Notamacropus eugenii: one gene and its partners. The protein of the gene in region 2 purifies or fractionates together with the protein of the main gene of each other region. This does not show direct contact. Links are inferred from orthologs where the notes say so. Each region holds a gene or a part of one and is shown on either strand. Other genes may lie near its edges.

What was found.
Region 1: the proteins of ZZZ3 (region 2) and WDR5 purify together in Homo sapiens (affinity purification with mass spectrometry; 5 studies listed by BioGRID and IntAct, counting the BioPlex papers as one, with this or other methods). This does not show direct contact. The link is inferred for Notamacropus eugenii from reciprocal best matches to the Homo sapiens genes ZZZ3 and WDR5.
Region 3: the proteins of ZZZ3 (region 2) and TADA3 purify together in Homo sapiens (affinity purification with mass spectrometry; 4 studies listed by BioGRID and IntAct, counting the BioPlex papers as one, with this or other methods). This does not show direct contact. The link is inferred for Notamacropus eugenii from reciprocal best matches to the Homo sapiens genes ZZZ3 and TADA3.

Annotation. Positions count from the first base shown.
Region 1 is NC_092872.1:486,765,107-486,775,215, reverse strand, and holds the start of WDR5 (WD repeat-containing protein 5), read right to left. Parts: upstream 5,922-10,109; 5' UTR 5,793-5,921; intron 2,811-5,792; 5' UTR 2,713-2,810; coding exon 2,632-2,712; intron 2,152-2,631; coding exon 2,043-2,151; intron 52-2,042; coding exon 1-51.
Region 2 is NC_092873.1:538,892,491-538,902,599, forward strand, and holds the start of ZZZ3 (ZZ-type zinc finger-containing protein 3), read right to left. Parts: upstream 7,018-10,109; 5' UTR 6,874-7,017; intron 6,577-6,873; exon of another isoform or gene 6,235-6,576; intron 1-6,234.
Region 3 is NC_092874.1:435,649,860-435,659,968, forward strand, and holds the start of TADA3 (transcriptional adapter 3), read left to right. Parts: upstream 1-3,653; 5' UTR 3,654-3,792; exon of another isoform or gene 3,793-3,794; intron 3,795-7,176; 5' UTR 7,177-7,198; coding exon 7,199-7,405; intron 7,406-7,793; coding exon 7,794-8,044; intron 8,045-8,203; coding exon 8,204-8,351; intron 8,352-8,532; coding exon 8,533-8,674; intron 8,675-8,807; coding exon 8,808-8,911; intron 8,912-9,611; coding exon 9,612-9,721; intron 9,722-10,023; coding exon 10,024-10,109. Other genes in the region: ARPC4 (actin-related protein 2/3 complex subunit 4), read right to left, coding at 682-793, 2,159-2,277, 3,185-3,187. UniProt on the Homo sapiens protein: Functions as a component of the PCAF complex. The PCAF complex is capable of efficiently acetylating histones in a nucleosomal context. The PCAF complex could be considered as the human version of the yeast SAGA complex.

The DNA of each region.
Region 1 (10,109 bases), on a different chromosome or scaffold from region 2:
TCTCAAATTTTCCATCATATGCTCCCCAAATTTTAATGAGTTTATCTGCAGCTAAAAGACAAAAATTCATTGTTAGTCTATTAGAGATGGGTAATAACTTCGGCTTTCACATGGTCTCTATTTGATGCTAAGAACTACCTTGTGAGGTAAGCAATTGGTTATTCTCCCCACCTCCAACTTCTGGTGAAAAGTCCATACTCAAGTAGGATAAAAGATCTGACTACAGCAAAAAGTTTGCTTTGTCATTACATTTATCCCTTTATTAGACTGAGGAGACCTTTTCTAACTGCACCTGAAGTACCAAGGTTAAGAACAAAACTGTGGCATTTCTCAGTGTGAATACATAATACCACGTCATGAGGTAGGTGTGTCCCTGGGAGTTTTCTGACTACAGACTGTGGGGAAAACTGATGGATACAATGCTCTGATTTAGTTCTTCATTTCACACAATGTGAAGAAAGCTTTTGCTTTACACCTCCAGTATGAAATGAATCAAAAAGGACTTAAATGCCTATCTGTCTCCATTGCCTTATGTAACTAAGACTTAATTTGATGATTTTTTTTAGGGGTAACTTTAAAAACACCCTTGTTAACCAGAGTGATCTAGTTAACAAGAGGAGTCAAGAACAACCAAACTTAAAAGAGTTGCTCTTACTAGGTTAAAGTAAACCTGGAGGGAGATCTCTAAATGGAATTCCCCAGTGCACTGTTCAACATTTTTATCAATGAATGAGGATGACATGCCTGTCAAGGGTTTGAGGCTGGGAGTGATAGTTAATATACTGAACGACAGATTCAGGCTGCAAAAAGATCTGACAAAATAGAACTGTCTAAATCTATTAAAGTTAAATTTAATTGTAATTAGTTGTATACTTGAGTGAAAAAAAAAACAGAACTACAAAACTAAAGGATGAAGATATGGCTATGCAAAAATTCATTTCAGAGATAGGGGAATTTTGGGGGGACTAAGTTTTACTTACATGAGCCAGTAAAATATAGCAATTGAAAAAGGTTAATTCAATCTTACTTTGGGGAGCTAAAATTTCGTTGATCTGGGCACTGATCCAAGGCAAACAGAAATCATTCTTTGCTTTACTGGATGGTACTCATGAGTTGCTATGGCTAAATCACCTAGTGGTCAGCCTTCTGGCCTTAGCTAAGTTGATTCTCAGATAGGCCTTAAGGACTATATTTAAAATTTTCCCAACTAACTGGGTCAGGCCTGCCAAAGTGTAAGCTCTTCTGATAGTTTCAAGAAGACAGTTACTTTCACATACTGAAGCATTACCTGGGTCTAAATTTAGAATGCCATCTTAGCCTGGACACTACGCTGCTTTAATGCATAAAACAAAGGAAGAAACCAGAAGTAAAACATAAGAAGACTCTATATGAAGCTCTGTATCCACATCTGTATACATTTTTTCTTAAATGCACCTTAAATTATGTCACTGGAGTAACTGAATTCAACTTAAGATGCTCAACTTAAGACCTGGAGGGTGATGTATAACTTTGACATTACTTATGACCTTGTACAAGTCTCTGTCCCATAAGGACTTGGATTATATGGCCTACAAGATCCCTGGAAAGCTCCAGATATAGTATCCTAAGATGATTTAAGAATTATCATATGAAAGAGATCAAAACTTGTTCTCTTTGGTTCCATAGGGTAGAACTAGAGACAAGAGTTCAGAGTTTCAGAAAAACAAACTTACTCTCTATATAAAGAACAAATTTCCTAACAACTGGAGCTAGCCAAAAGAGGAGAGAATTTTCTCAGAACAAAGTGGATTCTCCCTCACAAAGGTTATTTTAAATGGGAGCTAGATGAACAATAACTATAGCTATTTTATAGAGTTCCTATTCAGATATGAGTAGGTCAAATTAACCTGAGGTTCCTTCAACTCAACTGTCAGCAATACTGACAAGAACAATTTAATATGGAAGGGTTGCTAAATCAGCAGTATCTCAAGGACTGAAACCCCAGCCTCAATTTTCTCAACAACCAAATTAGGTAGTGACATTACATATTTGAGATTACTTACAAGAACTTGCTAACCATTCTCCATTTGGACTAAATTTTACCGAAGATACAGCTTTAGTGTGTCCTGCTAGTGTGAACTTTAATGCGTAGTTTGGCTTTACAGGTGCGGGCTAGAAAGAATAAAATTAAATATCAGAAAGTGATCACAGTCATCCTACTCAGATCTTTACAAAGTTAGAATGGGTGAAAAAGTATTATTGATAGCATTTTACTTAGGTGGAAAAAGAGAAACAACAATTTTCAACAATATAGTAAGGGGCCAAGAGATCAACCCCACTGTGCTGGTAAATGTTTAATAACCTGCTCTCTGAGAAAAAAATGTGTACATGACACACTTTTAAGTTTAGTCTCTATTATTAACATTTTCCCTATCACTTTGTCTATATAATCAACAAAACAATTACAGTAAGCCCAGATTTATAGCATTAACCAGATTTCCAAGGTATAAACGCTCACATGAAAATGTAGCAGTTGGCTCAGCTGCTCAGAGTTTAGCTCTAACACACCCACCTTTGGATTAACCTTACTTCAATATAAGTCTTTACATGCTTAATTTCACCTAAAAGGACATCAGATCTTTTAGAACACACCTTGCTCTGATTGGTTGATGAGGAAGGTGTAGATTGTGTTTTGGTGGCTTCTGCCTCTGGTTTCTTTTCTTCAGTTGCCATGGTTCTGAAACTAGCAAGTCAGATTGAGGGTGCTTGAAGGGATGATCAACCAGAATGCTTCAATAATGAAAAGAAAACCTGTGTTCAGTAATTTGAACCTGTAAGGGGAACAGGAAGTAGAGGGACAACCATTATTAAAAGGATATCTCATTTAACATAGCAATATCCAGAAAAAGTTAATAATAAACATTTAGCCATAATACTGAAGCCTATCACACAAAAACTTCTCAGGTTGAGGATAAATTTATAACTGAAATAAATTTAGAGAAAGAATATAGTAATCCTAAACTTCCGGTTCCTACCTTTTAGTTTATTGTTCATAACCAAGCTACCTTTGAACTATCTTTGCATTCCATATACAGTAATATTCCAAATTATGGAGGCATTTTCCATTGTTATTCAAAATCCTAAAAATGCTGTTGGGAATAGCCAAGATCTAGTTATTTCTTTAAAGATTATTTTTAAAGAATTTTTTGTTTTGTTTTTAAATTCATAAGACTGACAGGAAAACTAAATCCCAGCAGGATACAGCAGTTTCAGAAGTTACCCAGATTCCAAGACACAAATCATGTGGAACACATTAAGCAGATACACTAAAATACAAGCCCAGGGTACTTTTGAAGCCTTATGGTTGTTATGGACTGCTACAGTTTCCATACTATAGGCATAAGGATGTTTTCTGTTTCCCTAGTGAGCTGAGAAGCTCATTTGCTTATGAGACAACCAGGAAACAGAGCCGAAAAGTGCAAGCCAAAGTCAGCTTTGTGTTGGAATTTCAACTGCCTTGCCTTCTGTAGCAAAGCTTGAAATGCTGCACTGATACTCTGCAACCAAGACTCATACTGCAGATGAAAAAAAATCTCTACTGCAGCTCAATTAGATTTCAGCTTGACAATGGGAAGTATTGAAAATCTGTACTGTAAGTAATTATTTCACCTGCCTCTTAGATCAGTAGTTCTGGATGTAGCCTCAACACTAACTTCCATTACTTGCCTTACATCAAGCACGTACCAGTTGAATGAGAAGAGGTAAATGTCTATTTTTGAAACTTCCTATTTTTTCCATCAGAAAACCTTAAAAATCACTAGACTAGACATTGTAATTTCTTCATTTAATTTAGGGAGAATTCTAATTTAATTTAAAATGTCTTACCAGAACTTCTGGTTGCTCTAAGGGGAAACAAGTCATTATAAATAATACTAACATTGGCCAAAGAATCATTGAAAAGAGAAGGATGGAGGTGGGAGAGAGGGATTACATCATAAGCACTCACTTTACAAGTCTTCTGGCAGACCAAAAAACACACAGGTATCAGGCCTGTTTTTTTTCCCTCATACAAATCCCAGGTTTTAATTAGCAACCCTAACCCCTAGTATATATCTAGGAAAGGTTTAGGGGATCTGGTGGTCAGGACCCGGCAAAGTTTAAGTCTTTTGAAATCAGAAGGAAAGGAAAAGAGAATGGCATCAAAGAAATGAAAAGCAAGAAAATAACATTTAGTAGATGGCCTAACCACTTCAAAAAAATAGTGAAATATTTGAGTAGGGAGAAGACCAAGCCAGGAACTCTGACCAGGAACACACCAGAGGACTACTGGCTGAAGAAATGAGAAGAGCTCTCCCTCTGCCCCCAAATGCATGAGCTAAGCTCAGGTGAAAGGCTCTGGGTAAAGACAAAAACCTACCTCCTTCAGTGAAAGATATAGCCCCAGCCCCAGGGAGAGAAGGGGTCATTCCGAGGATGTGGCTAAGAGAAAAGTGTGATTGGCTGGACAAGGAAAATGTGCAATTAGAAAGGCGGAGATCCCTGAAAATAGGAGAAGCCCATCCTACAGTCTGACTCAAAATTAAGGGTTTTGAGTCAGGGGATGAGGGGCAGGGAAGTGGGCCATGGCTGATACCATGAGGGGATCACTGAAGAAAAGGAAATCCTGTTCTCTATTCACAACTAATGGTTCAGAGTTTTTAGGGGAGAGGAAGCAGAATGAGTTAGGCTAAGGCCAGGCTGTGTGAGTAAAAGAGTGGAATGGGGGAAAAGGAACAACTGAAAGGGTAGTTATTGAAAAAAAAGGGAATGCCACCCTCTTAAGCGTCACCTGGTCGTTTCAGGATCCATTTTTCTTATATGTGATAAGGGGATATGAGGGAAAACACTTGGGGTTTGGCTGCTTAGAGGTTAGGGTGCACTAGAGATAAAACAGGTAACAGAGCTAGTGCATTCCTTCTGAGTCCAAGCCCAGATGTTTCTAGATGGGGTAAAGAAAGGGTAAAAACGGGGATTTCACTGTATAATGAAGCATCCTGAATCCAAATCCAGGTGTTTCAAAGGGGAGTTTTTTGGGCTTTTTAGAGGAGTAGGGGACAGTGTGACTGTATTATTAGGTGAAAGTGATCTGTCCCTACTGACCTGGAAAAAGGGGTGCAGGTGGATGCTGAGTGCAGTCCCGAGGAGCTAGTGCAGCTATGAGAAATGGGGAAGGAGGTAACTGGAGGTACACTCCCAATTCATGGAAAGCTATTCCTAAAGGTGTTGGAGGAGTAGGGGAGGAAGAGCAGAGGCAACTACTGCAGCTTTGGGGCTTGGCCAGCCTGAAGAAGGCACGGGGAAGGAGTCTGAGGAATGGGGGGCACCGCCTTGGTCGCTGCCAAGGTATTTTTGGGAAGACTGGGGGACAGCTGAAGAAGGGCAGGGTAGAACTGGGGCCTGTCCTTCTGGGGAGGAGGAATGGGGAACAAACGAGGTCCACGCTTAGGAATGATGGGGTGGGGGAAACGGAGAGAGCGTCGGTGGTTAGCCGGAGGGGGGGAGGTGAGGAGAACGCGGACACCAGGGCGAGGGGGCCCCGCAGGCTGCATGCGGGTGAGGGGCACTGGGGGCCCGGAGGGGGCCAGATTCTCCTCGGAGAAAGGGGGCGCACCCCGGGCTGGCGAGCAGGCGGCCCTGGCGGCGCAGGCCCGTCCCCCGCGCTCTGGCAAGCGACCGGGGTCCGGGGTCCGGGCGCGGCCGTTCCTCCCGGCTCGCAGGCCCAGCTCCAGGCCGGGGTCGGACACGCAGACGGACGCCGCCCTCCGCCCGCTTACCTCACCTCCGCTCGGGGCGAAGCCTCAACAGCCGCCACCGCTCATGAGGAGCGCAGCGCGGCCCGACCCGGGCGAGGACGGACGACCAGGCGCCCGCCGGGACCAAGTGGAGGTGGCAGCGGCAGCGCAGGCTCCTCCTCCCGGCGCCAGGCGGGTAATGTGGAGTGGCAGCTCCCCGGGCGCATGCGCGGCGACAGGGCGGGGGCGAGCGCAGGGGCGGAGCGAAGGACCGAGAGAGGGAGGAGGAGGGGGTAAGGACACAATACCAGGCTGTTTCCGAGATGGGCTACGGCAAGCCGCGAAGGCCGAAATTGTCAGTAACTCAAACTCCTTAAAGGATTTACTGGCGTTTCTCGCTGCCCCTTTATGGCAGAGTGGGGAAGACGTCCCCTAATCCAAACCCCTCCTTTTACAGATGAGCAAAACGAAGTTCGGAGAGAAGGGACTTGTTGGGACCTTAGAGATCCTCTGGGCAGGAGGGGTACGCGACTGATGAGACAGACAGACAGAGAGGGAGAACAGAGGGACCCACGAGAGACGGAGACACCGAGACACAGACGAGAGAGGGGGAAGGGCGAAAAGAGAGACCGAGAAAAAGACAGACGGACGGACGGCCTGGGGAGCGGGGGGAGGGGGCCAGGAGGCAGAGGGCGGGAGGAGCGAGAGTTGGGTCCTTCCAGAGTGTTTACATAGCTAAACCTTCTCTTTCCTTTCCCTCAGACGCCCATAGATCGCACCCAGCAGGCCCCGGCCCAGGCTCCCCATAAGGGCTGTTTTCCAGACCCTCCCGCCTTAAGAGTGATTATCAGTGGTAACTGTTGCCGTTTCCCTCCCAGCTGATGTACTTCTTTTTCTTTGCCTCATTAAAGGGGCCGTGCCCTGATTCCTTCTTAAAGAGGCCTGTTCACTGAATGGGCATTCCTTCACTCTAAGTGAGTGCCTGCATAGGCCCAGGTCTCCCAGGGCATCCCGGGCCATCTCCAGTCCTCCTGAGGAATATCTGTCACTGGATCCACATGGCTCTGGAGGAGAGGTGAGGCTGGTGACCTCACAGCCCTCCCTCCCTCACTCAACACAAGTCAAGGGCAAGTCATGTCATCATGTCTCTGGTGGCATGGTCTTCTCCAGCAAGGAAGGACGAACACACACAACATTCTGAAACCTTAAAACTTCACTAAGACTTTTAGGAGACCCAACAAACACACACAGCATGGGAAATTGTATTTGTGTGTGTGTGTGTGTATACACATATGAGTGTGTATATTGATAATGTTTAATATAAAATTTTGGAATAATCTCTTTGTTCTCTCTGAAGCAAACTCAGAGGGTGCCTCTTCCTATGTCAACAAAGCCAGCCAAGGCTGACTCTACATTCCTTAGGAGACCTTTAACCTAAGACACTATCTTGAATAATGGGACTTTCCTTTATATCTTATTATCTATAGACATACACTATGTTATGGCATATTAATGGTAAAGAAAATATAGACATCTTAGGTCGTAATTTCTATTAAACTTTGTTTACCCTTTCCTATGTCAGTTATCTGTTTAGGGCAGGAAGCCTGCCACTCACTAGTGGTAGGATTTCCTTCCTTGTCACCGGGACATATGTTTACCCAGCCTGGAATCACAAGGCCTGACCAACATTACTTTGTTAATTGTCTTGTCTTACTAAATTTATAATTTGTTCAACTAGGAGAGTTCCTTTCTCACAGCAAAATGTATATAAGCCAGAAGATTTCTGCACTAGGTAGCCAGAACATTTCTGGCTCCATAATGCATTATGTTACTGTTGTCTTTAATAGGGAATTGATTAATTAATTAATTAAATCATAAAATGTATGCATTTAGCCTGTTGCCTTTTCTTTAACCAAGTTTTCAGGTCAACAATATCTAGGTGTAGAATTATATACATACACATACATGTTTAATTTTCTGTGCCTATTTCCTATACATTTTCACAATGCACAGCTACGTCTGTAATTTCCTATACATTAGATACATAATGGCACGTATATACAGGTATGTTATGTGTGATTTCATATACTTGTGCATTTTTTCAGAATATCCCAAGAGTCTTAGTGCAGTTTTAAATGTTAATAATGTAAAAAATTTAGAACATATATACACATACACATATGCACGCATATATACATACACATTTGTTTGTATAAGTACGTCTATATATGTATCTTCTGAAAAATAGAAATAAGGGACGGGTGAACTTCATAATATAGTGGAGAAAACATTGTACTAGGAATGAGGTGATAATTTAAGTTTCCAGCTCTGAAACCCTGGGCAAGACAATTCCTGTGCCTCAGTTTCCTCATCTGTAAAATTAGGGTAATAATGCTTCCTACTTATAGGGTTGATGTGAAGAAATTGCTTTGGAAAAATTAATGGATTTATATACATATGTATATATACTATCATTATAACTATTATTGCAACTGTGAGGTGTGGGAAGGGAGAAGAAAAGAACTGGCCTGTCAGAAGGCATTGAGGTCAGAAATAAAATGCCAAGTTCAGAGATTAGGTAGTTTGACTAGAACATAGAGTTTATTACGGAATAAGAAATAAAGCAGGACAAGTAGATGGGAGCCAGATTGTAGAAGGCATTGATTACCAGTCTGAGCAGTTCATATCTTATCCTGGGGTGGTTATTATGTTTGTCTTTCATTTTCAAAGAGGACCATGGCATCAAGGGAATGATGACATGACTTGCACTTGACTTTGATTTGAGGGAGGGAGGGCTGTGCAGGTCACCAGCCTCACTTCTCCTCCATAGCCATCTGAATCCAGTGACCAGATATTCATCAGGATGACTGGAGACCACCCAGGATGCAATGGGAGACCTTGGCCTCTTTAGGCTAAGGCTTTTTCAGGTACTCACTTAGAATAAGGTAACACTCATTTAGTGAATAGTCCTCTTTAAAAAATGGGGAGCCACTAAAAGTTTTTGAGTGGAGAAATGACATCATCATACCTGTATCTTAGCAAGTTTAGATTGGTAGGTATGTGGTCAATAGATTAGAAAAGACCATAGGTTTATAGCTAGGAGAAACCTCAGAGATCATCTAATCTACCTGTTCATTTTTCAGATAAAGAAACTGAGGTCCAGAGAAGTAAAATGACTTGGCTAAGGTGGAACAAGTTAAATATATGGCTGATTTCCCAAAAAAGTTATTTCTACTGTACCATGAGAGACTGGATATAGTGAGATCAATTAGGCTATTATAATACTCTAATCAAGAGGCCTGAATTAAGGTGCGGTGCCAGATTGAAGAGGATGCATATGAGAGACATTAATGGATGTAGAATCTACAAGTCTTGGGAACTGGTTGTATATTAAAGGGTTGGGAATGAAAGAGAAGGAAGAGTCAGTTATTGCTTCAAATTACAAATCTGGGTGACTGGAAAGATGGTGGAACCCTCAGAAGAAGATGGAAATTTGGAGGAGGGGCAAAATTTAGCGATAGGGGAAAAGATAATCAGTTTTATTTTGGATACGTTGAATTTGACTTTAGGTAACCACACAACCCTTCTGATCACAGCATCAAATGAGTATTCCTGAGCATTTCTGGAAATTTATATTCTCCCAAGTTATTATTTGAAATTTAAATTAGGAAAGGCAGTATGGCAGAGTGGAAAAAACACAGCTGGGAATGTGGATTTTGATCCTGGCTTTGTCGCTTAATTTATATCATCACTTTATGTATGCCCCAGTTTATATATTTATTCTGTACAATAAGGGGATTGGACTAGATGGAATTCAAGGCCCCTCCCAGCTCTTACTTCCTCTGTAGTATTTCTACAGATTTTAGCCCTCTCACAACATCCTTAGGCTGTTAGTTGGAACATACCCCATGTTGAGAAATACCCTTTCTCAATATGGGGTATATTACTAAGCAAGCATGGACTCCTTTGGGATTCCCACTTAATAACATATCTTCAGTCCTCCACATCTATTTTTACTCAATCCATAGGGAGAATTTGTGACACTTTCCTATGTAGTTGGAATGTGAGATTCAGTTGACAACTTGATAAGCAAGAGCAGCACAGCCACATATTACTTGAATAATCTCATTCAGGTTCAAAGCATATGAAATTAGTTAGACTGGAGACCTTAAAATAATGTCTTATATTTAAATAATGCTCCACCATTTCAAAGTACTTTCACATTTCTTTTACAACCTTGTGAAATAAGTAGTTTAATGAAAGAGTTAAAAAGCATTTATTAAATGTTCATGATTTCCCTGTGCTGGGCTAAACACTGGGAACACAAATACAAGAATTCCTGCGTTCAAGGAGTTTACA
Region 2 (10,109 bases):
ATGACCCGAACCCCAGTCTAGCTCCCTCTTAATAGGGGTCTCTCCCCATTAGAAGGAGAGCTCCCTGAACACAGGTAAAATCTCTTGGGGCTGAATTTGCATCCACAGGGCTTGGAAAGGGTTTGACATTGTATAAGCACCTAATTTATTATTTATGGTCAAAAAGTAAATGGCTAAGACTTGGGCAGCAGAAAAGAAGTGATGAGCCCAGGTAAACCCATAAGAAGGAAAAAATGCCTAAAGGAAGTGTGGTTTCTCTCCCCTTTTCTCCACTGTCTCCCTCACCACTGGCTGCTGCAATGGTCCTGGTTTCGAGTCACTCCCCTCTCTAGGCCAAGCTCACACAAGCTGCCTAACAAGCAAAAGTCTGTCATTCCCCTCAAGAAGCTCCAAGAGTGCTCTGGGAAAGGGAATCAGCACTTATACAGCACCTACTGGGCACCAGGCACTGTGCACTCATACAGCACCTACTGGGCACTGTGCTAGACACTTTCTACAACTCTGATCTCATTGGCTAGGGATCCTAGAAGCCCATAAAGTGCCCCTTCCCCACCTGGTTCAGCTCTGCTTTTTATCTTCCCACACTCTCCATTCCAGCCCAACTGACCGCTGGGCCCTACATCTGCCTCCTCACCTTTGGCCAGATCATCACACAGGCCTGGAATGCCATCCCTCATCATTCACTCCCAGCTCTTGGTATCCCTGGCTCCCTTCCAGGCCCAACTCAAGCAGCCCCTCCTCCAAGCAGCCCTTCCCAATACCCCAAGGTTAGCATTCTCTTCACACCAAGAAGTGATTTATCTGTGTACACTTCATTTTCATTCAGTAGAACACAATAAAAGAGAGAAAAGTTGAACAGTCAACATACAAACAAGAGGTAATGGATTCTCATACCAAATAGGGATGTTTGAATCCAGAGAGCAAGACTAAGAGGGACAGACAGAAGGAAATGTGTCTGAAGGTGAATTGGGCCCCATCATCCTGAGCTATTAAAGGGTCTCTTGAGAGGGGAAGCGTTCCTGCACAAATTCAGGAAGAATCACAGCCACCAAATTTCAGAGGATGCATAGTCTCATTTATTCCTCATATATAGCAGGTAACTAGCAAAAGAAACAAAGATTTCCCACATATTTCAGCTGTAACTTATTTCTCTGGCATCGTTCAATGAAGTGGTTTGACAGAAACGAATTTTCCAGATGACAGTGGAAAGTTATTCTTCAGCAGTAGAAACTCAAACATTTTGTTCTTTAATGATGGTCTAAAATGTTATTGTATCCTTCCCAGACTTCCCTGAAAATAACCTATTCTTAGTTCTGGGTTCTGATGACCATAATCTAGCAGAGGGAGCTTAGCTTTCAGCTAGTCCAATCCTTATTTCAGAGATGAGCAAGTCGTGATCGCTAGATTAAGTGATTAACCAAGATAATACAGTTATTTCCACATCAACTGTTGTACGACACTGTAAGGCCACAGTGTGTCCCTGACTAATGATGCTTTTATAAATTCATATGTCTACTCAAAAAAAAAAGTACATAGCTCCGAAGTTAAAAACAAAAAATAAAAAAAGTCTCTGTGCTCAAGGAGCCTCCACTCTACTAGAGGAAATAGAGGCTGCCAAGAATACATGACTACTCACTGGTGAAGGGGAGAAGCCCCCTCATGAAGGTAAATGCTGGCCCTGACCCGTGCACACTTCCCCTTCTGGACTTCCCAGCAAATCCCCTCTTCAAACACCTCAAGGGATGCTACAATGCAAGCCTCTCAACCCAGCCCCCCCCCCAGCAATGTGCAGACTTGCACCCACCCTGGTTCAGATACTCCATTTAATGAGGAAGGACAAGAGCATCTCTTGCATCGGCATTCCTCATCCCCCGTCTCCTCTTCCCTCTGGTTTTCCTGACAATGCTCTCTCTGGTGCTTCTGCTGCTCTGCACACTCCATCATGGAGTCACACTCAAAAACTAGTCCTGCGTGTCCCCCACAGCTCTGACCTGGACCTTCTTTGCTTCAGCGATCAACAGTTCCCCTGGATTGAATTTTCTTCTCTCTTCTGATAATTCCATGGGCCTGAACCTCCCTCCTGACCTCCAAAAGTCTGTTAGTTATCTTTACCCAAACATCTCAGATACCTCAAACTCAGCATTTCCAAAATGAGCTCAGTCCCCTTCCCTGTAAGATCTCCCCCCTTTCCTAACTTCTCTATCACTGTGGAGAGTACCACTATCACCCCACTTCCTTCACCATCACTATTTACCCAGCACCCTGGAAGTGGCAACCCCTGACAGTCACCATTCTCAACTGCTACCCACAGGGCAGGCAAACCAGCTTAGATGAAGCAGGAAGGTACCCTAATCACTCTCAATCATCCTGGCCATCATCCCTCCTAAGACCCTGAAGCCTGTAGAAGAGCAAGGCTTCCAGCCCAGTACCCACAGCCGTCATCTGAAGAATGCCACCCCTGTGGAGACTCAGCCCAGCAAACTGCTCCCACAAGTGCAATAGCCACAGATATACAGACCCAGAAAAGAAAGTCCCTGACCCTGACCAACACCAGAGATGGCATTAAAGATACAGCACCAATGCCCACTTTGCCACTGCACTCTAAGAACCAACCTGATTTGCAGCTAAAACCTTCCCTATGTGGTAGCTCCCACATGTGAATTCTCACTCCTGGAAAGCAGGACCTGACTTTTCTATTTATATTCTTAGCACAATTCTTTGCACAAAGCATTTAGAAAATGCTTTATTCATCTCCCACAGCCACCAGTGGTCAAACCGTGTGAATTCCACCTCTCCTTTGACAACGACATCACCTCACCTCTGGACTTTCTTCAGTAGGGAAGGGGAAAGGACCTCTTATATACAGACACTGTGCTACATGCTTTATACAGCTCTCATTTAATCCTTACATCAATCCTGGGAGGCAGGTGATTTTTTATTATCCTCATTTTACAGATGAGGAAACTAAGGCCCAGGTCAGAGGCCAGATTTAAGCTCAAGTGTCCTTGACTCCAGGTCACAGGGCCACAGAGCTGCCTCAAGCAGGCAAAAAGTCAAAAAGTCTCTCCCCGATCCAGTCCGTTTTCCATGAAGCACAGGCCTGACCCTGTCACCCTCCCCCCTCACTCAATAAACTCCAGTGGCTCCCATCACCTCCAAGATCAAAGACAAAAGCCTCTGCCTTGCCCCTTCCACATACTCTGCCACTTGCCTCCTGGCTGCTCCTCCAACAAGAGAACAACTCCAGCACGACATGCCCAATGCCAAGGGAGAGGTCCATCAGCCATTTTCATACAAAATATGTAAAAGGTCATTTCAAGGGTGGAAGAGCACGCTCAGGCTGGGCTCTGAGAGTCACTGAGGTTTCTAAGACCTCAGGGTGAGGGACCCAGAACTGGAGTTCCCTCTCCCAGCAACCTGTCCTGGCTTCCTGAGTCTCTGCCTTCTCCAAGAAACCACTGCCAGCCCTCCTTAATCTCTGTGCCTTCCCTCTGAGATGATCTCCAATTGATCATGTGTGTCTGTCTTGTTTGTATGTGGCTGTTTGTACGTTCTTACCCATGAGACTGTGAACTCCTTGAGAACGGACTTATTTTGTCTTTCTTTGTGTCTGAAGCACTTAAGTTCAGTGCCTGGCACATAGTAGGTACTTAATAAAAGCTGGTTCATTTGACTTCAAGAAAAAAGTGGTTAGAATTTTTTAAAATTCTCTTTAAAAAGTACAAAATACCTCTGAATATGTAAGCACTTACAATAGGAAATCAAACTCAAGACAAGTGAGCATCTTTTACAAGAGAACCACAGCACAGGTCCTTGGGTTTCCAGCTACCCATCACTTCTGTAATACTTGTGACACTGGGAGTTAAACCCTCTCTAAGTCAGCTGCCTGACTCTAAGGCTGAGGAAGTAATACATTCATTTTAATTCTGCTGAGTCCCACTTTTTTCAACTTCTTTGGAAAACATTTTCACAAGTGGTTAACTTCCTGGCAAGGAAGGCGACCAGATTAAATTCGAGTCTCACACCTGCACTGAACCAGCCCTGCTAGTCTCCCTCCACTCCTCCTACAGAGGTGACATCCAGAGACCCTGAGAGTGGCAATGAACCACCTACAAGCAGCCACCTCCAAACTTTAGAGGTAAGAAGAGACCAATTCCTTCAAGCTCACAAGAGGAGAGAAAATCTTCATTCTTTCCATAACAAAAACAGCACTGGAGTCAAGAAAGCTGGCTAGAATCTGGCTCGGTTACTTTATGACCTTGGATAAGTCACCAGGCCTCAGTTTCTGCAAACAAAAAATGCATGGTTGGAATAAATGGAGTCATCTCAGAGGTTCCTTCTACCTCTAAACCCTAAGATACCATAACCCCCTCTACCTCTGCAAGCCCTAGAGAAGAGTGCAGGATCCTCACCTACTGGCTGGTAGCAGTGACATAAGTAGAAGATCAGGGAAAACGATGACCACAGCTTTCAGTCTGGGGAGAAAACAGGACAGAGTCCATACAGATTATCCACTTTTATACAGTTCTTTGTCTTCCAGTCCAAGAGGTTTAAAACTTCTGGAAAAATGACCCAGGAGAACTCAGTAAGATAAATGTCCAGCCTAGCAAGCGATCTTTTCAAGTCACCAAGCGTCCTTTCAATAGGAAACAGCAATGGAAATTCAATCCAGACAAACCACACTGCTCCTCCTTCCCTTCCAACAGTACACTTAAAAAAATAATCTTTTTTAAATAACTCTGCTAAAAGAAGTCAGTGACCTTTAGCAGGCTAAATTCTTCCTCCTGAGCCAACAGCATTATGTCTAAGCAAAGCTTCTGAAGGAAAGGAGCATGTTTCTTGAAAGAGTTCTGACAGGGTGTGAAATACATGTCCATCTAGACCAGAGGAAGCCTATTAAGGTTGAATGGCATTCCCAGAAGCTAATCTATAACTAAGTTTCACATTTAGCATTGTCTCTAAAAAAAAAAAAAGTTCAGCTTCAGGACACAACCTACACGAAACTTGGACAACTCTCAAGTTAGTCACTTTTTGCAGAAGTGTTGGGGAGTTTTTGCAAACAAATCTCTATAACATTAGGAAAAAAGGAGAAAAATCACCTCATGCATATTCTAATTTTGGTTTCTGAAGCTGGATCTCTTCTGGTAAGCCGAGTCAGCTTCAGAAATCACACCTCCAAATTCCCACCAGACTCTTCTACTCTCTGCCGCCATCCCTAAGTTACTCTGTAACCGGGGGCCAATGTTTCTACAACGTTTCCCACACCTCTTATCTTTCCTCAGATGTCAGTCTGGGATACAAAGTCTCAGAAAAGCATATCCACTCGGGAGGAACCTCCCAAAAGAGCACTCACGACACGATGATGGCTAAGAACTATAGTTCTACGTCCCTACACAGGTGAACACACATACAGCCAACACTTTACAACTTTTCCAACAACTTTAAAGAACCTGATGAACTCAAAAGCTTCTAGACAGATTCATGCTCTCCTCCGAAAGGGCAAGCTTCAAGCCACAAAAGAACTGTATTCTTCAGACACATGTAAAGACAAAGGAAAGAAGAAGGGAGGGGAGGCCAGGCTAGCTTGAGACTTCCTAAAATTCCCAAATAGCCACATTGGATTAGACCATTTGAAACGGCTCTTCACTTTAGAAATGATTAGGAGTTGCCAAATTGAAAGTGATCGAGAGACTCCTGAGGTGGATCTATGGCTCAGGATCGGGTCTCCCTGGTTAGCTGGGTGCCCACCCTAGACCAGATCCGGGCCAGTTGGCAGGGGGCAGGGCTAGGGATGAGGAGGAGCTGCGGCCTCACCTTACATTTCTGGATGAAAGAAGGCAAGGTCCCATTGGTCTGGGCGCGGACCCCAAACACGGGGCGTTCCCCAATTTGAAAAAGTTCCTTCTCCAACACGTGCCAGCCCTGCCAGCGCGCCCAGGCGACGGGCACCCAAACGCGCTCCCGGCCCAGACCCTGACGGACCGCCTGCCTCCGTTTCTCCATCCGGACGCGGTGACAACACTCCGAGGGCATGACACGCGCGGCCCCCGGCAACCTCAGCACCCAGCAGGCGCCACCTAAAGGCAGGCAGCCCCTCGGACCCGCGCCCACTGGCGCTCCTGGGCACGTGGGAGGAGCTACCCCCCCTCGCAGGTAAAGGGCGCCGCGGGGGCGGGGAGTCCCTCGGGGAGGTGTCGCCGTGCCCAGGGCCCCACCCGCACCCCGGCCACTTGCCTGCTCCGAGCAGTCTAGGCTCCCCCGACCCGGGAGCCCCAACAGCGCCGCCGTCCCGGGCCCCACTTTCGGCCGGCCCCCTCCCGCGAGAGCCGCGCAGTCTCGCGAGGCCGCCTAGTCCCGGGGAGTCTCGCGAGGCCGGGTCGGGGCCAACATGGCCTCCTGAGCACGTCTTCGGAACGGGAACTGCTCGCCACGGGGGAGGCAGCGACGGGGGCTGGGCCGCGCGGCCGGGGTCTGGGGAGGGAAGTGGGGCAGGATGCGCGCGACTCGGCCGCGCGGAGGCTTAGGAGAACTTCAACCCCCAAGTTTCACGTCAAACCGACCGGGCTCCAGACCGGTCACGTGAGCGTCAGCGACCCGCGTGCGTGTCACGTGGGCCGCAGCCCAGCCAGCTCCGAGAGCGCGCCCGGCGCCCCGCCCCCGAGCGCGGCGGCGGCGGCGCAAGCTTGTGCGCGCGCACCCCGCCCCACGTGGGGGCATCGCCACTCACAGCCGTGGCCCCCTCCCCTCTTCACTCTCCTCCGCCCTCCCCTCCCGGGATCCAACGCGCCGCAGAATCCGAGTCCCGCAGCCCCTCCCCCTCCCTTCCTCGCACTCCCCCGCCCGCCACGTGCCCCCAGCGGCCCCGGGGCTCACCTCGGGCGCCGCCGAGCCGACCGGAGAGAGCGGCCGGCGGGCGGCCCGTGGCCGAGAGGGAGGCCACCCCCGCCGCCCCCGGAAGCTCGGCCGGCCGCCTCCCCGCGGCCCCTGTGCGCCAGCCCGCCCGCCCGCCCGGCGGCGCTTCCAAGTGGGCCCGCCTCCCGCTTCTGCCACTTCCCGCGGCCGCCCCCTCGCCTTCTTCCGGCCCCTCCCTTCTCCTCCTCCTCCCCCCTCTTCTCTTTTCCCTTCCCCCCTCCTGGCTCCGCGGGTTCGAATCCCGGCCCTCCCCGCCAGCCTCACCTGATTAATAATGGCGGTCATAATAATTTATAATCATGATAATAACGGGAAGCAGCTGTCGCTGCGGGTCCAGTCGGCTAGATCTTAGTAGGCGCCCGCTGTGTTCCCGGCGCTGTTGCCAAGACCATGAAAATCACAGGTAGAGACTCAGTCCTATCCTTAAATTAAGTGACTTTGGCATTGGGGATGCCAAAGAAAAGAGCCCTCACCCCCCCTCGGGCAGCTTACGTTCTACCGCAGGGCATTTAGAGAGCACCTCGTAGCACTGGGTCCAGAACACCTTTCAAATGCCTGCCCAGGATGAAAACAGCTCCCCCTCCGATCGCTTAAGATCCCCGAGAAGAGCTTGGCCGCTGTCACCTGGGAAACAGCCTGGGAAATAGATACAAAGTAACTTCCCAGGCTCGCTCATTTCCTCCCTGTCAGCTACTTTGTAATCACCTGGAGAGCTGGAGCAGCCTCTGCCTCGGTGGACAGCTCCGGCCCCGCGAGCCCGGCACCCGCACCGCTGCCTTTAGAACCCAGAAGAACCTCCGAACTGAGCTTTGCAGACCAGCAAGTTGGCCCAAACACCGCACAAATGGGTCTACTTTACTGGGGGCCGGACTCCGCAGTATTGCTTTGACAGCAGGTACTACGAGTGGGCCCAGCCTCTATGCCCAGGACCCAGAGCAGGGCTCACATCCCGCCCCCCCTCTCCCCGACAGGCTGGTTGGTGAAGCCCCTGGTCCTCTCTTCAGAATGTTGTTTAAATGCATAAAATAAAATACTTTGGATTATAAAGGAAATCATTGACAGTAAGGAACAGTTAACAGAATTTTTTAAAAAACGAATTAATATCCCCCAGCTTGAGAACTCGTTCCCTAAAACCGAAGATCAGCGCCTTACGCTAGGAACAAATTCAAACACACCCTCCCCAAAGCCAATCAAGGATTCCAGAAATGGAGCCTTCCCAAAGTAGCCGAGCACTGTGTCGCTGGGATTTGTATTGGATGTTTGGAAGTTTGTTTTTTTTCAGGCATGTGAGTAAGTGGAGATGTGGGTAGGTGTCTTTAATACTACTAAAAAAAATTACTGCCAAGTTGAAATGTTTTCTCATATTTTGCTTAGTTGAGAGGGTTACTGAATGTCCATGGGAACAGTTGTCTATTCAGCAGAACTGGGAACATGGAAAGGATTCAGTGTTCCCTTTTAGACCAGAGGGTAGGGAAGAATTCTTACCCAAACAGGAGAAAAGCCAGCAAAAAAGTAAAAAAAAAAATTGTGAATTTGAGGTGCAGAAAATTAAAAAGATTTTGCCACCAGTAAAATCACTGACGCTAGAATTTTACTAGTGGTCTGGTGGGGAAATTTTATTAAGAATTGCATTGGAATGTAAAAAGCACAGTGCTTGACACATAGGAGGTGCTTCCTAATTGTTTATGATCTGATAGGCCAACTTGCCATGGGGTCTGGAATGCTCTCAGTTCTCACCTTCATTCTCTGGGGCACCACCCCCCTTTCCCCTAATGCTGCTCCTTATGTGAGAAGTTTAATGATTTTTGTCTAAGTGTTGATGCTCCCTCCCCCCGCCTCCAAAAAAGAAGCCATTTGTATTTCCAGTGTATGTCGGGAGGTGGGGGTGGCATTTACAGAGTTTTCTCCAGCCGAAGGTAAGCTTCTTGAAGATAAGTATTGTTCCTTGTCTCCATAGCCCCAGGCCCTATCATGAACCTGTTCTCAGTTCAGGTTCAATGAATCTTGAATTGAATTCCTAAATCACTATGGGATCAAAAGAGATGGACAATACTACAAATCACTAATAAAAAAAAAAAAACCACAAAGTACAATAACCCTACATGGTCACTATATACAGATCCAATTGGGAAGGATAAAAAATCCCCGAAATAGCAAATGTTGAAGAGTCCACAAGTGAACTAATGCACTGAAGGTGGAGTTGGGATCTGGTCCAAGCAGTCTAGAGAAAAGTGATTCAGCTCTTCATGTCTGAGCCATCATTCCATATACCCCAGGGAAGCAGGTGCTGGAAATCAAGGATCCACCCATACTCAAATAGTCCTAGTATTTGCTCCTTGATAGCAGCAAGGCCTTGAAAAGAGGGGGCCAGCTGACTGGGGGAAAATAATAATGTTAATAATGATGATGGTGATAGCTAACATATAGTGCCTACTATGTGCCAAACACTACAAGGCACCCTTTAGGATTATTATTGAATCCAGGCTCAGCACTCCACCCACTGCTCGACCTAACAACTTCCAATAAATGGATGATGCTGCAAGAAATGAGCAAAATTGGGGATATGAGGAATCTGGAGAAAGAGCCATGGGAAGAATTACATGAAATGAGTCAGAATCAATAAAGCAGAACCCAATGACTGCAGGAACATGAATGAAAGCAACATGGGCAGGATTCAGATTATCTGCAGTGTCTAATATTGACTCCAGAAAACTATGGGTGGAAAACTCTTCTGTCCTTTAACTAGAGAGATGCTGGGTCACAGGTATTGAACCAACTGTTACTCGCAGTCTCACTGGGCAGAGGGGAGGGTTGCTGGGAGTGACTGTCATGCAAAAATAAGATAAAATAAAATATGAGAGAAGAACAGAGATGGAACTGATATGGTCCCATTCACAGACAAAGGATAGTTTTGTACACTGGTACCTCCGTTACAGGGACTTGGGCATCCAGGACCCGGAGTCAGGAAAGACTAATTTGAGGCCTCAAGGGGGCGCCATGGTGCACACAACACAGAACCTGGAGTCAGGAAGGGGACACAGCAGTGCACAGAACCTGGACGTGGAGTCACAAAAGGCCAATTCCTTATGAGGCCCCTACCTAGGCAGGCCCACAGGCACAGAGCACTGGAGCTGGTGTTCGAGCTGGGTGACTCCTGGTAAATCACTTCACCCTGTTTGCCTCAGTTTCCTCATCTG
Region 3 (10,109 bases), on a different chromosome or scaffold from region 2:
GCAGATTTGAATTCAGGAAAATGAGACTTCCTGACTCCAGGCCCAGTCTATCCACTGCACCACCTAGTATTCCTCTCTCATTCCACCAAAAAAGTCAAAAGGCCTAGCCTCAGAAAATAGGAAAGAGAACTGCATCAATCTTGTTACTTTTGTATCATGCAGCTAAAATATATCTGAATTTGTGTTATCGTTAGAAGTAAACATATATTTACATATCATCTTATGTTTATAAACCATGTTCAACTATTTCATTTGGTCCTCTTGAGAACCCTGTGAAGTAGGTAGTCCATTATCTTCATTTTGTGTATGGGGAAACTGAGGCTCACAGAAACATAACCTTTGTGACCTGCCCAAGTTCACAAAGCTCCTGAGAGGCAGGACAGATTCACATGCAGCTCTGACTCTACTATTGGGGCTCTGTCCATCATAGTCTGCAAAAGGTAACAACTTGAAAAGATTCGATTTGATACTTATTCATGATAGAATCTATTTTGTCTCCACACTGCTCACCTTCCTAAAGCAGTGAGGTCCCAGAAAATATTGTTTCACTGTTTCATTTCATTAAGCTCTTTCCTCAACAATCCCACATCTAGGGATCTCAGGACCCTAAGTCCTCAGTGTCATGCAAAATTTCTAACATCCAGTTTCCAGTTTTAAGCAATCCTCAAGTGTTAAACTAACCTGTTTTACAGCAATGCTGACTCTAACAGAGTTGATGGAACCCTCGATCAGAACCTTTTCCTTCTCATTCCTGCTGATGGTCACAGGTTGTAACAGGAGTTCTTTACTACTCCTATAAATGCAACATCAAAGATTCCACTGTCAATGGATGAAGAGAAGTCCAGAAGACCCTACACAACAGGACCTAAAATCACCAACTAAGATAAAAGCACAAGGTGGCAGACACAATCTAGCTAACTGCACAGATGATTCAAAACAGGAACCAAATACCATATCACACCTTCGATAAACTAACATGACAAGACAGAAAAATGATAAACATTGGAGAAGATGTGGGAGAGTTGGAACACTAATGCATTGTTGGTAGAGCCATGAGCTGATCCAACCATTCTGAAGAGTAATTTGGAACTATGCCCAAAGGGCTATAAAAATGTGCATCCCCTTTGCCCCAGCAATATTGCTTCTAGGACTGTATCCCAAAAAGATCATAAAAATGGGAAAAGGACCAAAATATTTATAGTAGCTCTGTTTGTGGTGGCCAAGAACTAGAAATAGAGGAGATGCCCATCAACTGGGGAATGGCAGAACAAGATGTAGTATAAGAATGTAATGGAATACTATTGTGCTATTAAGAAATGATGAACAGGAAGACTTCAGAAAGGCCTGGAAGGACTTATATGATGGACTGATGCTGAGCGAAGAGAGCAGAGCCAGGACAACATTATACACAGTAATAGCCACAGTGCTCCACAGCTGTTTACGATAGACTTAGTCCTTCACAGCAAAGCAAAAACCTAAAACATTCCCAAAGGACTCATGATGCAAAATGCCATCCACATCAAGAGAAAGAACTACGGAGTTGGAACGCAGAATGAAGCAAATTATTTTCTCCTTTGTTACATTTTGTTTTTCTTATGGTTTCTCCCATTTGTTTTAATTCTTCTACGCAACATGATTAATATGAAGTGTGTTTAATAGGAGTGTACGTATGGAACTCATAAGATTGCACGCTGTCTTGGTGAAGAAGGGGGAGAAAATTTGGAAGTTATGGAAGTGATTGTTGAAAACTGAAAATAAATCAATAAATTTTGGGGAAAAAAATACATCCAAAAAAACCCAAACCCCAGGAACTATAGAGATCAACTATACAAGTAGATTAACGAAAAAAAAAATAGCCCAAGTTCTTTAATTATTGATCCAGAATGATTTTTGCACTTATCACCAAAATTTCTTTCAGCTCATGTCACTCACTATATCCTCCCTCAGTCCTTATGGTAAAAAAAAAAAAAAAAGAGGAAGTGATAACTCAGAGATGTGTAAATCGCCTGAAATCATCCCCACAGGATTCTTTGCCCATATGCACCATTCTGGGATGCAGTGCTGCAGAAACAGCTCTGCAGTTTTCACCGACACCTTGGTCCTGGGGTTGCCCTTCAGTCCCAATAAGCAAGGCCCCCATGCTCTGCTTCTTTCCTACCTGACTTCTACCTCTGGCTTGTTGTGCCTCTCCACAACTTGGGAGGAGAAATTCTCCAGGCAAAGCGCAGCCTGCAGTGTGGCCCGAACGGCACTAAGGTAGGGGCGGAGAGTGGCAGTCTATAGGAAACAGAAAAGGAATCAGAGCTGGGTGCCCCCCACCCCTGCTCCAAGAAACATGCATTTCGTTTTTCCTATTACTGGTGTTAACAGGAACCAGACAGCACCCTCAGCTTGGCGGCCCCGGTTGCCCCTTCCCCCAGGGGACCAGACATGGGGGCTGGCAAACTCCACCTGTGCCCTTCATGCCCCACCCCCAACTCCTCCCCAAAATGCCTCTTTGGATCACCTTGGCATCCTCTCATTTCTCCATAATAACTCCCTTCACACAATCCAATCAAGTACTTTTATTGTAGCCCGGAGGGGGGGGTGGCATAGACATCATCGCCAAATTAGGAAATTAAGGCGGAAAATGACTCGGTCAAGGTCACTCAGCCCTGGTCCAGTGCAGGGCTGGGATCCAAATCTCGGTGCCCCATCTCCGAACCCTGTTTTTTCATGCCCCACCCCTGCCCACTTCCCCTTCTTCACTTTTTGCTCTTGCTGCCCCTCCCTGCTCCTCCTCCATCCCTCTCAGTCTTCGGGTCTCGCTCTATCATCCGCCCTCCGCGCATTTGCCCCTCTACTCATCCATCCCTGCATCCCCCCAGCCCCTGCTTCCCCCCTCCTCATCCTCCCCTTCCTCCCCCGTGCCCTCGATCCTCTACTCCCCACCCCCCGGGACGCCCCCTCATCCTCTCTGTGCCCTTCTGCCAAGTCCCTCATCCGCCCTCCGCGCCTTTGCCCCAGCAGCTCTCCCAGCCCCAGGGGCCCACTCAGGCTCCTCCCCAGTGGACCTGCCTCGGCTCCCCCACCGTCCCCTGATCCTCCTTAGCCCCTGGGAAGCCTCGGCTCCCTCCCCAGCGCAGCGTGGCCTCCCTCCCCTTGCCCCCCCGAGGATCCTCAGCGGACGCCCCCCAATTCTCACCATTGCTGGGGCTGGTTAGGCCGGAAAGCGGAAGTGCAGGAGTGCACTGGCTCCGGGGCGCCGTCTCTTCCGGGAGCCGGGCCTGGGCGCTACCACCGCTGCTCCAAGGGCAGGGGGAGCTGGAGCGAAACAACGACAGCTGTTCTCCTCTTCCCCTGAAGCTCGCAGGAACCCCTTCTCTCCGACGCTGGAAACCCTTCTTCAGGGCCTGACACGATGAGGGGAGCTCTGCCGTGTCTGTCCTTCCCTGTCACCCCTGCACCCCCCGCCTCTCTCCCCCTCCCTCAGCAAGAAGGTACAGCCCAGCTCGCCGTTCTGTCTCCATATTAGGACAGGGCCAGACACGGGATGGCCCCGCCTCTTCCGGTTCTGACCCCGCCCGCCCGTCGTCTGTTACTGCCCAGGCCCGAGCCGCCTAGGCTCCCCAGCCTCGCCCGAGAGTGGGCCCGGCCCCTTTGCACCACCCCCGGGCCGCAGTGGGCGGCTCCGCCTGTCCCTGCAGGGCCAGCAGTTACCTGAGCTCGTGGACCTGGCCCCTCCACCCGCGAGGGACCGAGGCCGGCCGAGCGAGCGCCTCGTGGGATCCGGATAGAGCTCGGGCTGTGAAGGTGGAGGCGGGACCGGGGCGTGGGGAGTGGGCGATGACACGGGGAGTGAGGAGGGGCGGGGGCTGTGGGGCTGAGGGAAGCGAGGGGAGGGGAGGATGGCTTGGGAAGGGGGGAGGGGGCGTGGAGGGGAGGGCCCATGGGGGGCTGCAGGGGAGGGGAGGGGAGGGGAGGGGAGGGGACGTGGAGGTGAGGGGCCATGGGGGGCTGCAGGGGAGGGGAGGGATGTATAGAGCAAGGGACTTGGGAGTCTGCAGGGGAGGGGAGGGGGTGTGGAGGTGAGGGGCCATGGGGGTGCTGTATGGAAGGGAAGGGGACGTGGAGGTGAGGGGCCATGGGGGGCTGCAGGGGAGGGGAGGGATGTATAGAGCAAGGGACTTGGGAGTCTGCAGGGGAGGGGAGGGGGTGTGGAGGTGAGGGGCCATGGGGGTGCTGTATGGAAGGGAAGGGGACGTGGAGGTGAGGGGCCATGGGGGGCTGCAGGGGAGGGGAGGGATGTATAGAGCAAGGGACTTGGGAGTCTGCAGGGGAGGGGAGGGGGTGTGGAGGCGAGGGGCCATTGGGGGTGCTGTATGGAAGGGAAGGGGACGTGGAGGTGAGGGGCCATGGGGGGCTGCAGGGGAGGGGAGGGATGTATAGAGCAAGGGACTTGGGAGTCTGCAGGGGAGGGGAGGGGGTGTGGAGGCGAGGGGCCATTGGGGGCTGCAGGGAAAGGATCAGTAAAAGGAATGCCCCTAATTCTGTGTTGGAGAAAGATGGAGGGGCAGGTCTAGGAGAGGGAATATGTGGAAGGTCAAGATTGGATGGCAGGAAGCAGGACCCTGACTCCATCTGCCCCTTCTCCAGCCCTCATTCTTCTAGACACTCTCAGTTGACAGTGCAGCGCTCTCTTCCGCTGGGTTTTGTGTCCCTTCTTTGTTCCACCTCTCCTCAGCATCCTTTAAACAACTGAATGACCACTCATTACAGACATACTAGCACATACCACATTGTCTAGTCAACAGACACATCTTTGTTATTGAGCAGTTGTGACTTCCAGGCACTGTGCGCAAGGGCGGGTAATACAAATGCTGGTGCAAAGGAAAGCCCTGTGCAGTAGGAGCTTCCACTCTGACAAGGGAGATGCCTTGGAAAGTCACAGGGCAGTCTGGGGAGAAATGAGACTGTTGACCTAGGCAGTCCTTCTTAAGTAGGAGTTCTGTTGGGAGCCATCCAATCAGAGGAAGAGGCTTCCTGACCCGGGCTACTTCCAAAGTGGGAGTTCCTGGACTGGAAAGAGGCTCTAGGTTGGGGGCCTGGTAGAGGAAGTCCAGTACTTAGCCTGGAGATGATGACCACGTTGGAGATACAAATATAAGACAGTGCCTGCTCTCAGGAGACTTACATTCTAATTGGGGGAGTTAATGAACATGGAAACTAGGGAAGAGAGCTTTGGTCTGAGGATTCACAGGGATGTGAGTTGTTGTACATAGGGCAGTCAGTTGACCTGTCCTTTTCAGAGGCAACGGCACTCTTGGTTTGAATACTGTGCCAAAGGTAGAAAGTTGAAGAAAGAAGGGTGCAAGGTGACAGGCAGATGGCAAGATGGAAGGCTGAATGGTATCTGATTGCCTGTTACTAGAAACAACGTGGACTAGGTTGCACTTACTCACTCACCAGTCAGGAGGACTGGGTCTGAGTGCAGAAGCATCATAGCTCACCTATAACTCTGAGCATTCTCTAGGGCTGTGACTGAGGTTCACTTCTCTGCATGTTTTTCCTTGGTGATAGCAGCTCCCATAGTTCAACTGTCATCTCTCTTACCTCTTAGAAAAGACTTTTCCTGATTTCCCCTAGTTGTAATCACTCCCTCCTCCAAATTATTTTGTATTTATTTTATGGGCATTTTTGTATTTATCTGTACACATATTGTTTCACCTCAGGAGGTTGCAGCTGACTTCCCAATCTCACATTGAAGGGTAGCATGGCATAGTGGATAGGCACTCACTGTACCTGGAGTCAGGTGGATCTGAGTTCATTTCTTCCCTTAGACGTTAGTTGTAGGATCCTTGACAATTCACTGAACCTCTCTCTGTTTTAGTTTTCTTTGAAAAGCGGAGGGTGGGGAGGGAAGGATCAGATTCCATGTTATCTAAGGTTCTTCCTAGCTCTCAGTCTATGATCCTATGAAATCCAGCTCTCACATTTGTTAGATCTGTCTCATTAGTCGCGTGCTAGACATCTCCAGGACATGCTATAGCCACTGCAATCTCGACATGTCCAAAACATAACTTCTTAACTTTTTCCTTAGACCTCTCCCTCCTCCTGCCTTTCCTGTATCTGGTGAGTATTCTCGCCATTAGGCCATGCTGCCTCTCCCTTTTGTATCTGGGAGTCAGCTTCATCTTCCTGAGGTGAAACAGATTAGCACAAACCCCACTGTCCTTCCGATCAGCCAGGTGGGGCTCGTTGTCTCATATCTCGTATTCAACCAGTTGCCAAGTCTTGGCGATTTTGCTTCCATAGCATTTCTCAAATGTGTCCTTTTGTATTTACTCCCATGCCCTTCTGTGGCTCCCTGTTGCCTCTAGGACAGAGGACAACTCCTCTGTTTGGCCTTTGAATTCCTCCACATCATGACTTCAGGTTCTTTCTTCTTCCTCTAGCACTCTGCCTGCCACCAAACTGGCCCTCCTTGCCCACTCACTCTTGCCAGCACTCACCATTTTGTCTCTGTGTCTTTACAAAGGCTGTCCCCAGGATCCTCAAGATTCAGTTTAAATGCTGACTCCTACAAAAAGCCTATATCATTTTCCCCCAGTTGTTATTGGCTCTGTCCCCCAAATTAATTTGTATTTATTTGGCATATTTTTAGGATTTATTTGCACATATATGTACATCTATATACATATATGTGCATATACATCCATGGGCATACATTTATACATATACAAATTTCTCCTCAATAGCTTATAAATTCCTCAAGGGCAAAAACTATTTTCTTTTTACCTTTGTATTCATGGTACCCAGCACAGTGCCTGGTATGTAGCAGATGCTTAATGAAGGCTTATTGACTTAAATGAGGAAAAAGAAGAATGAAAAAGAAAAGGAAAGGGAAGAAGGCAGAAGTTCAGGGGTCATGGGAGGGAAAAACAAGTTGTGAAACAGGAAGAATGAGGACAGGAGCCTGGTAGGAGACATGACTGGGGATCAGGGTAGGCAGGAGTGGAATTGGGGTCAAATTAGCAGAAGAGGTTGAATGAGAGAGAGCAGGGACATCTTAGAAGTGGGGAGAATTCCTGTTTCCATTGCAAGTTAAGGCTGTCCCAGGACCATCCCCTCCCCAAAGAGGTCCTCTTGTGCCACACCGCCTCCCTGTTCTTGTCAGTTGACTGTCTTCCTCTCCAGCCCTGTAGAGCACCCAAACGCCATGAGTGAGCTAAAGGACTGCCCGCTGCAGTTCCATGACTTCAAGTCAGTTGACCACTTGAAGGTATGTCCCCGATACACAGCGGTGCTGGCCCGCTCAGAAGATGATGGCATTGGCATTGAGGAGCTTGACACCCTGCAGCTGGAGCTGGAGAACCTGCTTTCTTCAGCCAGCCGACGTCTTCGGGTGTTGGAGGCTGAGACCCAGGTGACTTCTTCCTTTGACTGGTCCCTGCCCTAGTGACAGGGTGGAAGAAGGGAGGGGAGCACAGATTGGGTAGTGAGGCCAAGCTGGAATGGAATAGGCAGGAGTCGTCATGTCCGTGCTAGGGTGTGGGTACTTGGAAGAGTTAAGAGAAGACAAAGGAAGCTTATACTTGGGAGGCAGGCCATGTGTGACCCTGAGTGCTGGGGAAGGAAGTGCTGTTGCAGCAAGGTATCATCCATAGCCTGGGAAGGCTGCCTGGATGAATATTTGAGTTATAGAGGCAACCACCAGCCCATTTCTTGAGGGCTTATGTCCCTCAGGCTCCATCTTTTTTTTGGGTGAAAGTGGCTCCCTTCTTTCCTTCAGTAACCCTCTGTCTGTCTTTCAGATTCTGACTGACTGGCAGGATAAGAAAGGTGACCGGCGATTCCTGAAGCTGGGCCGGGACCATGAACTGGGAGCCCCTGCAAAACATGGCAAGCCCAAAAAACAGAAGCTGGAAGGAAAGGCAGGTCATGGGCCTGGGCCTGGGCCTGGTCGGCCCAAATCCAAGAACCTCCAGCCCAAGATCCAGGAATATGAGTTCACAGATGACCCCATTGATGTGCCTCGGATTCCCAAGAATGACGCTCCTAACAGGTGCAGGGCTGGGAGAAGTCAAGGGGAATGGGTTATCAGGAATTGGGAGGGACTCCAGGGGGGATGCTGATCTCCTGGGGGTTGTCATTGTTCTCTGTGATAAGCATGTAGAATGGGAACACCCATCTAGCAGGCACTTAATTCAGTGGCTGATAATAGGCGAGGGGACTGTCTGTGCTCAGGGCCAGGCTCTGCTCCCAGGTTCTGGGCTTCCGTGGAGCCGTACTGTGCTGACATCACCAGTGAGGAAGTACGAACGCTGGAAGAGCTGCTGAAGCCCCCAGAAGATGAGGCTGAGCATTACAAGGTAGACCCTTCTGAGCACCGCCCCATGTCGCACCCTGTTTTGGGCAGGGAGTGTCTTATTTGGAGACTTAGACTACCTCAGGCTCTGCTTCTGAAACACATTGAATAAGGAAGGAAAAACTGCAAAAAAGGTTCTTTGGTTTGACTGGTCCTTATCCTGTTTGCTTCCTTTTTCCATACAGATCCCACCCCTGGGGAAGCACTATTCCCAGCGCTGGGCCCAGGAGGATTTACTGGAAGAACAGAAGGATGGGGCCCGGGCAGCAGCTGTAGCTGACAAGAAGAAAGGCATTATGGGACCATTGACTGAACTGGACACTAAAGGTATTCTCCTTGGTCTAGTCAGTTCATCTTTTCCCTCTTCCTCCTCATTCCTATAAGACCCAGGGAAAATGTCTAAGCTGTGCCTGGCAATCCACTTGCCTCCTTTATATCATCTACCCCTCTTTGGTTCCAGATGTGGATGCATTGCTTAAGAAATCAGAGGCCCAGCATGAGCAGCCTGAAGATGGGTGTCCTTTTGGCCCCTTGACTCAACGACTTCTACAGGCTTTGGTGGAGGTGAGGATCCAGAGGCGTGGGGTGCCCAAGATGCCCTAGTTCAGTGAACTCAGAATGAGACTGAGGCAGTTTGACATGAGAAGCTTGAGCTTTGGATTAAAGGACCTGGTTTCAAATGTTGCCTTTCATTACCTGTGGGATCTTTGGCAAGTCACTTAACTGTTGCAGGTCTTAGTTTCCTCATATGTAAAATTAAGGAGTTAGACTACATGGCCTTTAAGGTCCATTCCACTGCTAGCTCTGTGGTCCTAAGAGCTGGTCCCTAAATTACCTCAAACGGAACATGTTGCATCGTATAGAGCCCTTTTTCATGGGACACAAATCGCTGTGGAATGTGAGAGGAAAAGTTAGGGTGTCCTGTCTCTGAGAGCTCATATCTGATGGGAGGGATACAGGACAGACAGACAAACTAGGAATTTGACATATTCAAGCCATACTTGGCTACATTTTTCATTCCTCTCAGTGCTAGGGAAGAGGGTGTTTGCTGCAGTGATTGTAGTGGCCAGAACACTTGCCCTTAGTTTAAGAAGACTTTTGGGAGGAAGTTAGACAAGAACAGGTTTTTTTTAGAGAGAGGTGGTATGATTTGGGGAAGGGGTGACTTGTGAAAGGTGGGTGGGTACAGAGAGAGTGACCTGTGTAGGAGTAGAGCTGAGCTCAACACTAGAGTCATTGTACTTGTCTCGCTTTCATGGCCTAGGAAAACATCATCTCCCCCATGGAAGATTCCCCTATCCCGGATGTATCTGGCAAGGAGTCTGGAGCTGATGGTGCCAGTACCTCCCCTCGAAATCAGAACAAGCCATTCAGGTGGGTAGTGTTGCCCTCTCTGTCCATCCTCACCCCATCTGTTCTCAGCGTCTGCTCATTCTTCTGTCTGAGAGTCAGCTGACTCTTAGGGTCTCTGACTTCAAGTAAGGAGGCCTAGTGAAGATGACAGGGGGAGAGGTGAGAGTCCTTGGACCTGATTAGTAGCTGCTGCTTAAACCAAGAAGCACTTGTAGTTTCTGTGACTCCAGGGCTGGATCCTCTACACAGCTTGTCCTTTGATGGGTGAAGGTGATGTCATGAGGTGAACCTTAGGTGACCCTGGATATCTGTTCCATATGCAGTGTTCCACATACCAAGTCTCTGGAGGGACGGATAAAGGAGGAGCTGATAGCGCAGGGCCTGCTGGAGTCTGAGGACAGGCCTGCAG